2 linked regions of the Ovis aries genome follow. The protein of the gene in region 1 purifies or fractionates together with the protein of each later gene. This does not show direct contact. Links are inferred from orthologs where the notes say so. Each region holds a gene or a part of one and is shown on either strand. Other genes may lie near its edges.

Region 1 (4,081 bases):
TTCCCCCTCCATTGGATCTGGGATAACCTCTGTTTGCAAAGATTCTTGTCTATCAGGGTCTGCCTTCATTAGAACCTTCAGGTCTTCCTCCATATCAGCTACAGCATCTGCAGCACAAATCTGAAAACCCAAACAGTTTACAGTCAATTAAGTGTGAGCCAAAAATCTACTAAATCTAACAAATTAGAACGATCTAGAAGAGCACAGTCCTCAAATAGAATAGAAAGCCAAAACTTGTCAGGATTTTTCAAATGGTTCTATTTTCTAGCATTCTAAATCTATAAGTCTGCTTAGCTCTTGAAGCTTTTCATAATCTGATCCCATGCCTACCTGTTTGTTACTCTCAGCCACTGTTATCCTCAGAGTTCAAGAAACCCTTTGATCTATCACTTTGCGTAGGCTCACGTTGTCTCTATTTGCTGGGATATTCTTCCATCTGTTTTCAACTTATAAAACACATTCATCCTTCTCAATACCTGGCACAAGTCAATCTCTTCTGTGAATCTTGCCAGTCTTTTCAACTTCCACTGCAAGCATGTAGCTCAACCATACTTTCTCAATCTTTATTTCACAGGTGTTTGCCATTTTTCTGACCTAATTGTCTAAGGAGAGAGACTACATCTGTGTCTATCTATAGACTCAGAGCCGATTGCTATGCAAAGCATCTACAAAGCACTGAATAAATATTTGATACATCAACTTATTTCTAGTTGACTATTGCCTTATTTGACACTTACCTCCAGGGACTAGGATATTTGTCCAAGTGTGTACCACTTTCTCTGACGTTAATTAGTTCTCATCCATGAACGTACAAAACATAGTTTTTAAGAACACCAATCTTACCTCCATTGCTGTGCCTGAGTCCTTTGAGGATCTGATCACTCTTGGATTTAAAGGGAAAGGGTCCACAGGGGCATCTATCTGCTTCATCTGGAAATCACCATGTCCAACGATATGCAGCACGCTGTTTACATTCAGAGCCTGCCCACGAACGTAGCCTGAGATCTTCAAGGTGCCCACCAAGTCACTCTCTTCACTAGGCACAAAGTCAGCAGCATGAGCAAATAGATGGGCACGCCGATCTCGAAAGGCAAGATGCCGCTGTTTTTGGTTAGCCAACTGCCTGAGCAGCATCCCTGCCTCCTGCTGAGTATCTAACAGGAGGAGTTTGTCCTCAGGAAAGCGCTTCTCCACTGCTTTACTTAGCTTTTTTCTGGCATCTATTTGTTTCTTCAGCAGGAGGCTAGAAATCCCTTGGACAGCTAACGCTGTGAGCAAAAAAGAAAAGGTTTCATGACGTTGCTTCACTATATGAAACTCCCCCTCTGCAGTTCACAAACAAGCTAATAGTTTAGTTGTGAGCCCAGACATCACTGGGCAACCCAACACTCAGTTACACTAAAGAAATTCACAATAAAACCAAACTTCATAATCTTCTCCTTTCTCTGGGCAACTGGCAGTCCAGAAATAGGCACATTGATATATGACTTGTAAATAATGGACCAAGTTAAGGCCACACATACTCGTATAACCCCCCAAAAATATCAAGCGTTAGACATAGTATCTGGCAAATTAGAGGTGAACAATAAATGCTAATTCACTTCCTTTCTTGGCCTGCAATACTTCCAACTCACTTACTATAGGTGGGAAGGCCCTGAGCAAACAGGCAAGAAAGGCAGTAATCCCCGGTGCTATCCCAGCCTTCTAGTGGATCAAGGAGGAACAGGATGGTATCAGCCACTTTAGCCATGTCTAACACAGTATGCAGATCCCCTGGAATAGAAGACAGTCAGTAGGAAAAGGTGGTTGACATCAGGACATTTTACTTACAAAGTATTACCATTAATGCTCAAAACATAATGATAGGAAATATTGTTGCATACTCTAACCTGGCCTTGCCGATGTGAAAAACCACCGATGTTTCAAGCGGGGGCATAACAGCATAAAGCTATGGGTGCTTCCCCATTCATTCAAGTGTACAGTTCCAGTGTCCCTATCCTGAAGGAGCCGAAAGGCCTCTGGCAGAGAAATCCTGTTGTGCAGGGGCACCACCAGTACCTGATGAGGAGGGCCATCCTTGCTGCCAAGCTGTCTCTTTTCTGCCAAAACCTGAGGAAAGAAAGCATCAGAGAACACCTCAATGTTTCAATACTTTTTTCCAGTACTGCATTTCCAACAGTACAGAGGCCCATCCTCAGCCTCCAAACCAGTGTCTCTCTTGCTAAAAGGTGTCATGTATGCCAAGGAGGTGGGCAGGAAGTAGGCACAAAGCAAAGAAAGCTATAGCCTGCACACCTGACACGTGCTCTAGACTTATCCTCCATCTCTGAGCCCTTCCCAGAGTCACATTTTCTAGTTCGAGGCATTACCCGCCTATAAAAGTTGTGAAGCCACACCAGTCCCCTAACCCCCAGTTCTCTCACCGCCTCCTTCTTCTGCTTTCGGAGCTGGCTGGCGCGATGCCTCTGGTCCACCCTGCTGAGATCTTTTCTCACCTTCTTGCTTAGGGTTTTCGGTGCTAGACGGCCTGGAAGGATATCAGACCTTTCTGATCTTGCGCAAAGCACTGGCAGGTCAAGAAAGGGGACCCCTGTCTGCCCTCCTTAGACCCTCTGCGCGAGGTCCAGGCCGGAAGCAGTAACTCATTCTGGGCACGAAGAACAGCAGTTAATATCGATTAAACAGCTCTTCTTCCTCCAACCCTACCTTCTTACCTTTGCCATCTCGCTGCGCGGATCCTCGACCCCGATGCCGCCCGCCTTTATGCGCTTTATTCTGCTGCTTAAGCGGGCCAGAGCGATGGGCCGCCATGCTGCCGTTCACGTGTACCAAGTCGCCACTACTTCCGGGCTGAATAGATCGCTTCCGGTCCCCGCCTCGGGGGCGTGTCCTCCCCTAGCGGGGCGGGGCTCCTCGCGATCTCTCGCGAGGTTTATTTACACACACCTCTAGGAGAAACCTCCGTGTAAACTTTTCCCAAGCTGGTGGTCTGCTTTGGGGGACTTGAAAACACCGGATGCGGGCTCGAGGCTTGGGCTTTCAGTTTCGGAGGGCCGATATGCTTCCTTGAGTTTTGATATTTTTTACGCTATCATGTTGCATCACTTAGGAAGATTCTCCATTTGTGCGATAGAGGGCTAAGCCCCTCCTCTCAGCTAGCTTTGTGCACGCAGCTCCTCGGTTGGGAGCATCAGGTGTTCTTTGTCACTTTGGGCCACCGTTTGTCGCCCTCAGTTCCCAGGTGGGGCTGCTTAAGCCTACCAAGCAAATCGTGCGGAAGGCGCTTGTCTCACCTCCAGTTTCCGTGCCAGTTCCTCCTGGTCCCAGTTACCCCAACCCGCGCCCCCACGTCCCATGTAGCTGCGAGAAAAGCCAGACGGGTCGTGACCGTGACTCTGGCGCTCTCACACCCAACCGCGCCTCTGCAGACGGGGGCGGCTGCTCTCCCACTCCTCCACCAACAAGCTTTGCAACGGAGGGCGCCCAGCCGGCAGGGGGATTTAAAGAAACGATGGTGCGCCACAGCCTTCCTCCCAGCCGGGGGACCAACATGGGCTTCCCAGTAATCAGACTCGAGGCGCGGAGGTCCCAGTCCCTCCCGTCGGGAAATCGAGCGTGTAGGAATCACGGAACATCCAGCTGGATGGGGCCAGCTTTCGCAAGAGCAACTTGCCCCTCTTAGCCGCCTGGGGGTGGGGGGGTCCAGGGGCGCGCCCCGCCTCCCCAGCCCAGCGCTGTGCAGGGCGGGCGACTGGCGCTCACAATGCGGGTTCGCGCCCTCGGGGCTGGAGCCGGCGCGTTGCCATGACAGCGGCCCATGGGGCGCGCGCCCGGGCACGCCGCCCCCAGGCACGCGCAGTCTCCCCCCCCGCTCGACCCCCCCCCGTGGCGGAGCGCACCCCCCCACCCCGCCCCCGGCAGTGGGAAGGGGCCGGGCCAGGCTCCTGACGTCTGTGCGGGGCTCGGAAGATGGCTGCGGAGCACAGCACCGGGCAGTGGCTGCGGCGGCGGCGGCGGCGGCGGGCGGGGAGCGCGGCGGGCGGGGGCTCTGCCTGGCGCGTGGGGCGCTGAGCCGAGAGGC
Region 2 (3,648 bases), on another chromosome or scaffold:
TATCCAAAATGAGATTGAATTCATTGAAATCTCCATGAATCAGTCCATGATTTGCAAGTTTAACAATTAGTTCCATAGCTTCATCATATACTGATGCAGGATCTTCAACATGGTGTATTTGACATCTGAAAGTATGGAAATGGTTAATTTGTCCTCATTCATAATTTTAATTAAAACAAGCACGGGTGTATTTACATATCATTTCCACTTCAAGCCTCTCTATTCTCTCTTCATTCCTATCTGCATATAGACATGATATGATACCTCTTATTTTAAAAAAAAAAGCTACAACCCACTCAAATCTGCATTTTCTTTCCACTACTACACACATTCTTTGTTCTGCATTCTTTATAACCAAACTCCTCTAGTTGTGCTTTCTCCAATTTTTTTCCTCCCATTCTAATGAACCCATTTCAAACAGGCTTTCATTCATCCTGCTCCAATAAAACAGCTCTTGTCAAAACTACCAATGACTTCCAAATGACTTGCCATATCCAATGGTCGGTTCTTGATTATCATAATCTGGTCTATTAGCTAATCCCTTCCCAGTCCTTGAAGCAGATCCTTTCACTTGACCCTTGGCCCACTATCTCTTAAGGCGGTCCTCTTCCTGCACTGATCATTCCTTCTTAGTCTTTTTAGCTGGTTTTTCAGCTTTTCCCTGACTTATAAATTTTGGAGCTCCTCAAAATCTAATCCTAAAACCTATTGTCTTCACCATTCTTGATCTCATTCACAGACTTCAATCTAGACTTCCCCTGAGATTCTAGGCATCTCTAACTTACCATGTCCCCAAGTGAACCTCTGATTCTGCCCCACTCTCTAACTCCCAACTGTCTTCCTGCAGCCTTCCCCATTTCTAAAAGTGGCAACTTTATCCTTCTAATAATTCATTATTCAGGACCCAGATCTTTACTTGCTACTTCCTTCTTATCAATATCCAATCTCAAACAAATCATGTAGGCCCTGACTGTAAAATTCATCCAGAATCTGGCAACGTTCCCTCACCTTCACATCTACCACTCTGATCTAGACTACCATCATCTCTTTTGAGAATTATAATAATCCTAACTTTTCTTCCTAATCCTGTCCTAGTCTTTCTTTAGTTTATTTTCAATACAGCAGCCAGAGTGATCCCATTACAGCATTAGTCAGATCATGTCTCTTATCAGTTCAAAAATCCTCCGATGGCAGGGAGTTCCCTGGCAGTCAGTGGTTAGCACTGTCACTGCCACCAAAATAATCCTCCGATTGTTTTCTGTCTCAAACAAAATAGTCCCTGTGACATTGTCTCAACGGCAGTCATGTGAGGAAACAGAAGTGTATCACATCAACCTTAAAGTTACTCAGTGTTGGGCTTCCCTGGTAGCCCTGGAAGATGGTAAAGAATCCACCTGCAATGTGGGAGACCCGGGTTCGATCCCTGTGTCAGGCAGATCCCCTGGAGAAGGGATATGGCAACCCACTGCAGAATTCTTGCCTGGAGAATTCCATGGACAGAGGAGCCGGGCAGGCTACAGTCCATATGGCTGCGAAGAGTCCCACACGACTGAGCAACTAACACTTCCACTTTCTTTCATATTTAAATATATCCTCTCTACCAAAATAGTTGGCTGCCTCTCTGATCTCATCACTCACAATTTTCTCCCTGACTTACTCAGCTCCAGCTCCAGCGGCTCCTCACTGTTCCCTGAACATGAAGGTGTGCTCCCATTTCAGGACTTTTGCTCTTTTCTCTGCCTAGAATGTTCTTAGATATCTGCATCGTTTCTTCTCTCGCTTCTTTCAGGATTCTGCTGAAAAGTCCCTTTACCAATGAGAACTGTTCTGATCTTCCCAGCCTTCCACATCTATCTCAGTATTTCTTGCCCCACTTACCCTACTCTATTTTTATCCACAGCATTTACCACTATCTGATGTATCACATAATTCCTTGTTCAGCTATTTACTGCAAGTTTCCTTCCATCAGAATGTAAGCTCTGTGAGGACAGGGACTTTGTTTATTGTGGTGCCTTGAACAGTGCTTGGCACACACTAGATTGTTAATAAAAATCCACATTGTCAGAATGAAACTGAATTTTCAATTTGCCTTTATGTTAATTTCTACTACTTTATGTTAATTTCTAACCTCCCCAAAGTCATACTCCATTCAATGAAAAAAACTCATTTAAAAAAACCTGAACCTTACAACTATTTATTGGAATTCACGGTTTTAAGAATAATAAATACTTACAAAGGATAGCCATTTATGAGTTCCATGACCACTGCATGGCGATTATAATCAATTGGCTTTGGAACCGGAAATTTCCTTTCATACAATGCCTAAAATATAGCAAAACAGGTAAAAAGTAATGAAGAGGTCATTAATTTTTAGGAAACAATAAAGTTAAATGTACCTGTCCAAAACCAGGGAAAAAAAAATTACAACCTTCACAAAATTACAGTTAACACATGACTACGTATGGCTTATTCACAGCACAGGAGGATGAGCTGTACATAAAAATAAAATTGGAAATCAGTTTTGTAATTCACTTTTTTACCAAACATTCATTTATTGAACATTTACCAAATATACACTGTGCTAGGGTTACAAAAATGAGTGTGAAAATGTCTCTGCCCTCAAGAAGTTTAGTCTCTTAGGACATGTATATCCTCTTCTATTTTGTAAGTTTCTGTCATTTACTGGAGTGTGCTTAAAAAATTCAAATGGAAATAAATTGTGATTTAGGAAATACTGTCTTCTGGTATATCAGAAAATGAAATATTTCAGTATACCGGACATTTTAGTTTATAGAGCACTGATTCTTTCCTTCAGACCACAGTATCAATCTATTGTGTGACAAAGAGTCACTGTAGTCACAAACACCGGTCAGTTTAGTTCAGTCGCTCAGTTGTGTCCGACTCTTTGTGACCCCATGAATCGCAGCACGCCAGGCCTCCCTGTCCATCACCAACTCCTGGAGTTCACTGACTCATGCCCATCAAGTCAGTGATGCCATCCAGCCATCTCATCCTCTGTCGTCCCCTTCTCCTCCTGCCCCCAATCCCTCCCAGCATCAGTCTTTTCCAATGAGTCAACTCTTCGCATGAGGTGGCCAAAGTACTGGAGTTTCAGCTTTAGCATCATTCCTTCCGAAGAAATCCCAGGATTGATCTCCTTCAGAATGGACTGATTGGATTTCCTTGCAGTCCAAGGGACTCTCAAGGGTCTTCTCCAACACCACAGTTCAAAAGCATCAATTCTTTGGCGCTCAGCTTTCCTCACAGTCCAACTCTCCACATCCATACATGACCACTGGAAAACCATAGCCTTGACTAGACGGACCTTTGTTGGCACTGGTAGTCTGAGTCAAATGTTACTACCCACCATCCATAAATTCATTTTTTTGCTATGCTTAACTTTTCTTATCCTACTGCTTTCAAAATCGTGTTGTTATTACTTCCTTCAAAATATCTTGGTTTTCTGCATTGTGCCGTTTGGAATGCTGCCATTTCTAACAGGGCTTTGTCATTGTTACCCCAACCACATCAGCAATGGTTCTAGCTCTGCACACCAAACCTTTCTTCAGTGTACCAGTACCAACTAAGATGCTTGTGTCAATGCTCCATTTTAAAAAAACCTACAATGCTGTAAACGTTGATTTTATC

The links.
Region 2: the proteins of TSR1 (region 1) and RIOK2 fractionate together in Homo sapiens (co-fractionation; 3 studies listed by BioGRID and IntAct, with this or other methods). This does not show direct contact. The link is inferred for Ovis aries from reciprocal best matches to the Homo sapiens genes TSR1 and RIOK2.

What each region holds. Positions count from the first base shown.
Region 1 is NC_056064.1:23,192,756-23,196,836, forward strand, and holds the start of TSR1 (pre-rRNA-processing protein TSR1 homolog), read right to left. Parts: upstream 2,845-4,081; 5' UTR 2,812-2,844; coding exon 2,715-2,811; intron 2,528-2,714; coding exon 2,424-2,527; intron 2,110-2,423; coding exon 1,890-2,109; intron 1,774-1,889; coding exon 1,639-1,773; intron 1,269-1,638; coding exon 844-1,268; intron 121-843; coding exon 1-120. UniProt on the Homo sapiens protein: Required during maturation of the 40S ribosomal subunit in the nucleolus.
Region 2 is NC_056058.1:94,230,406-94,234,053, forward strand, and holds part of RIOK2 (serine/threonine-protein kinase RIO2), read right to left. Parts: intron 2,323-3,648; coding exon 2,234-2,322; intron 126-2,233; coding exon 1-125. UniProt on the Homo sapiens protein: Serine/threonine-protein kinase involved in the final steps of cytoplasmic maturation of the 40S ribosomal subunit. Involved in export of the 40S pre-ribosome particles (pre-40S) from the nucleus to the cytoplasm.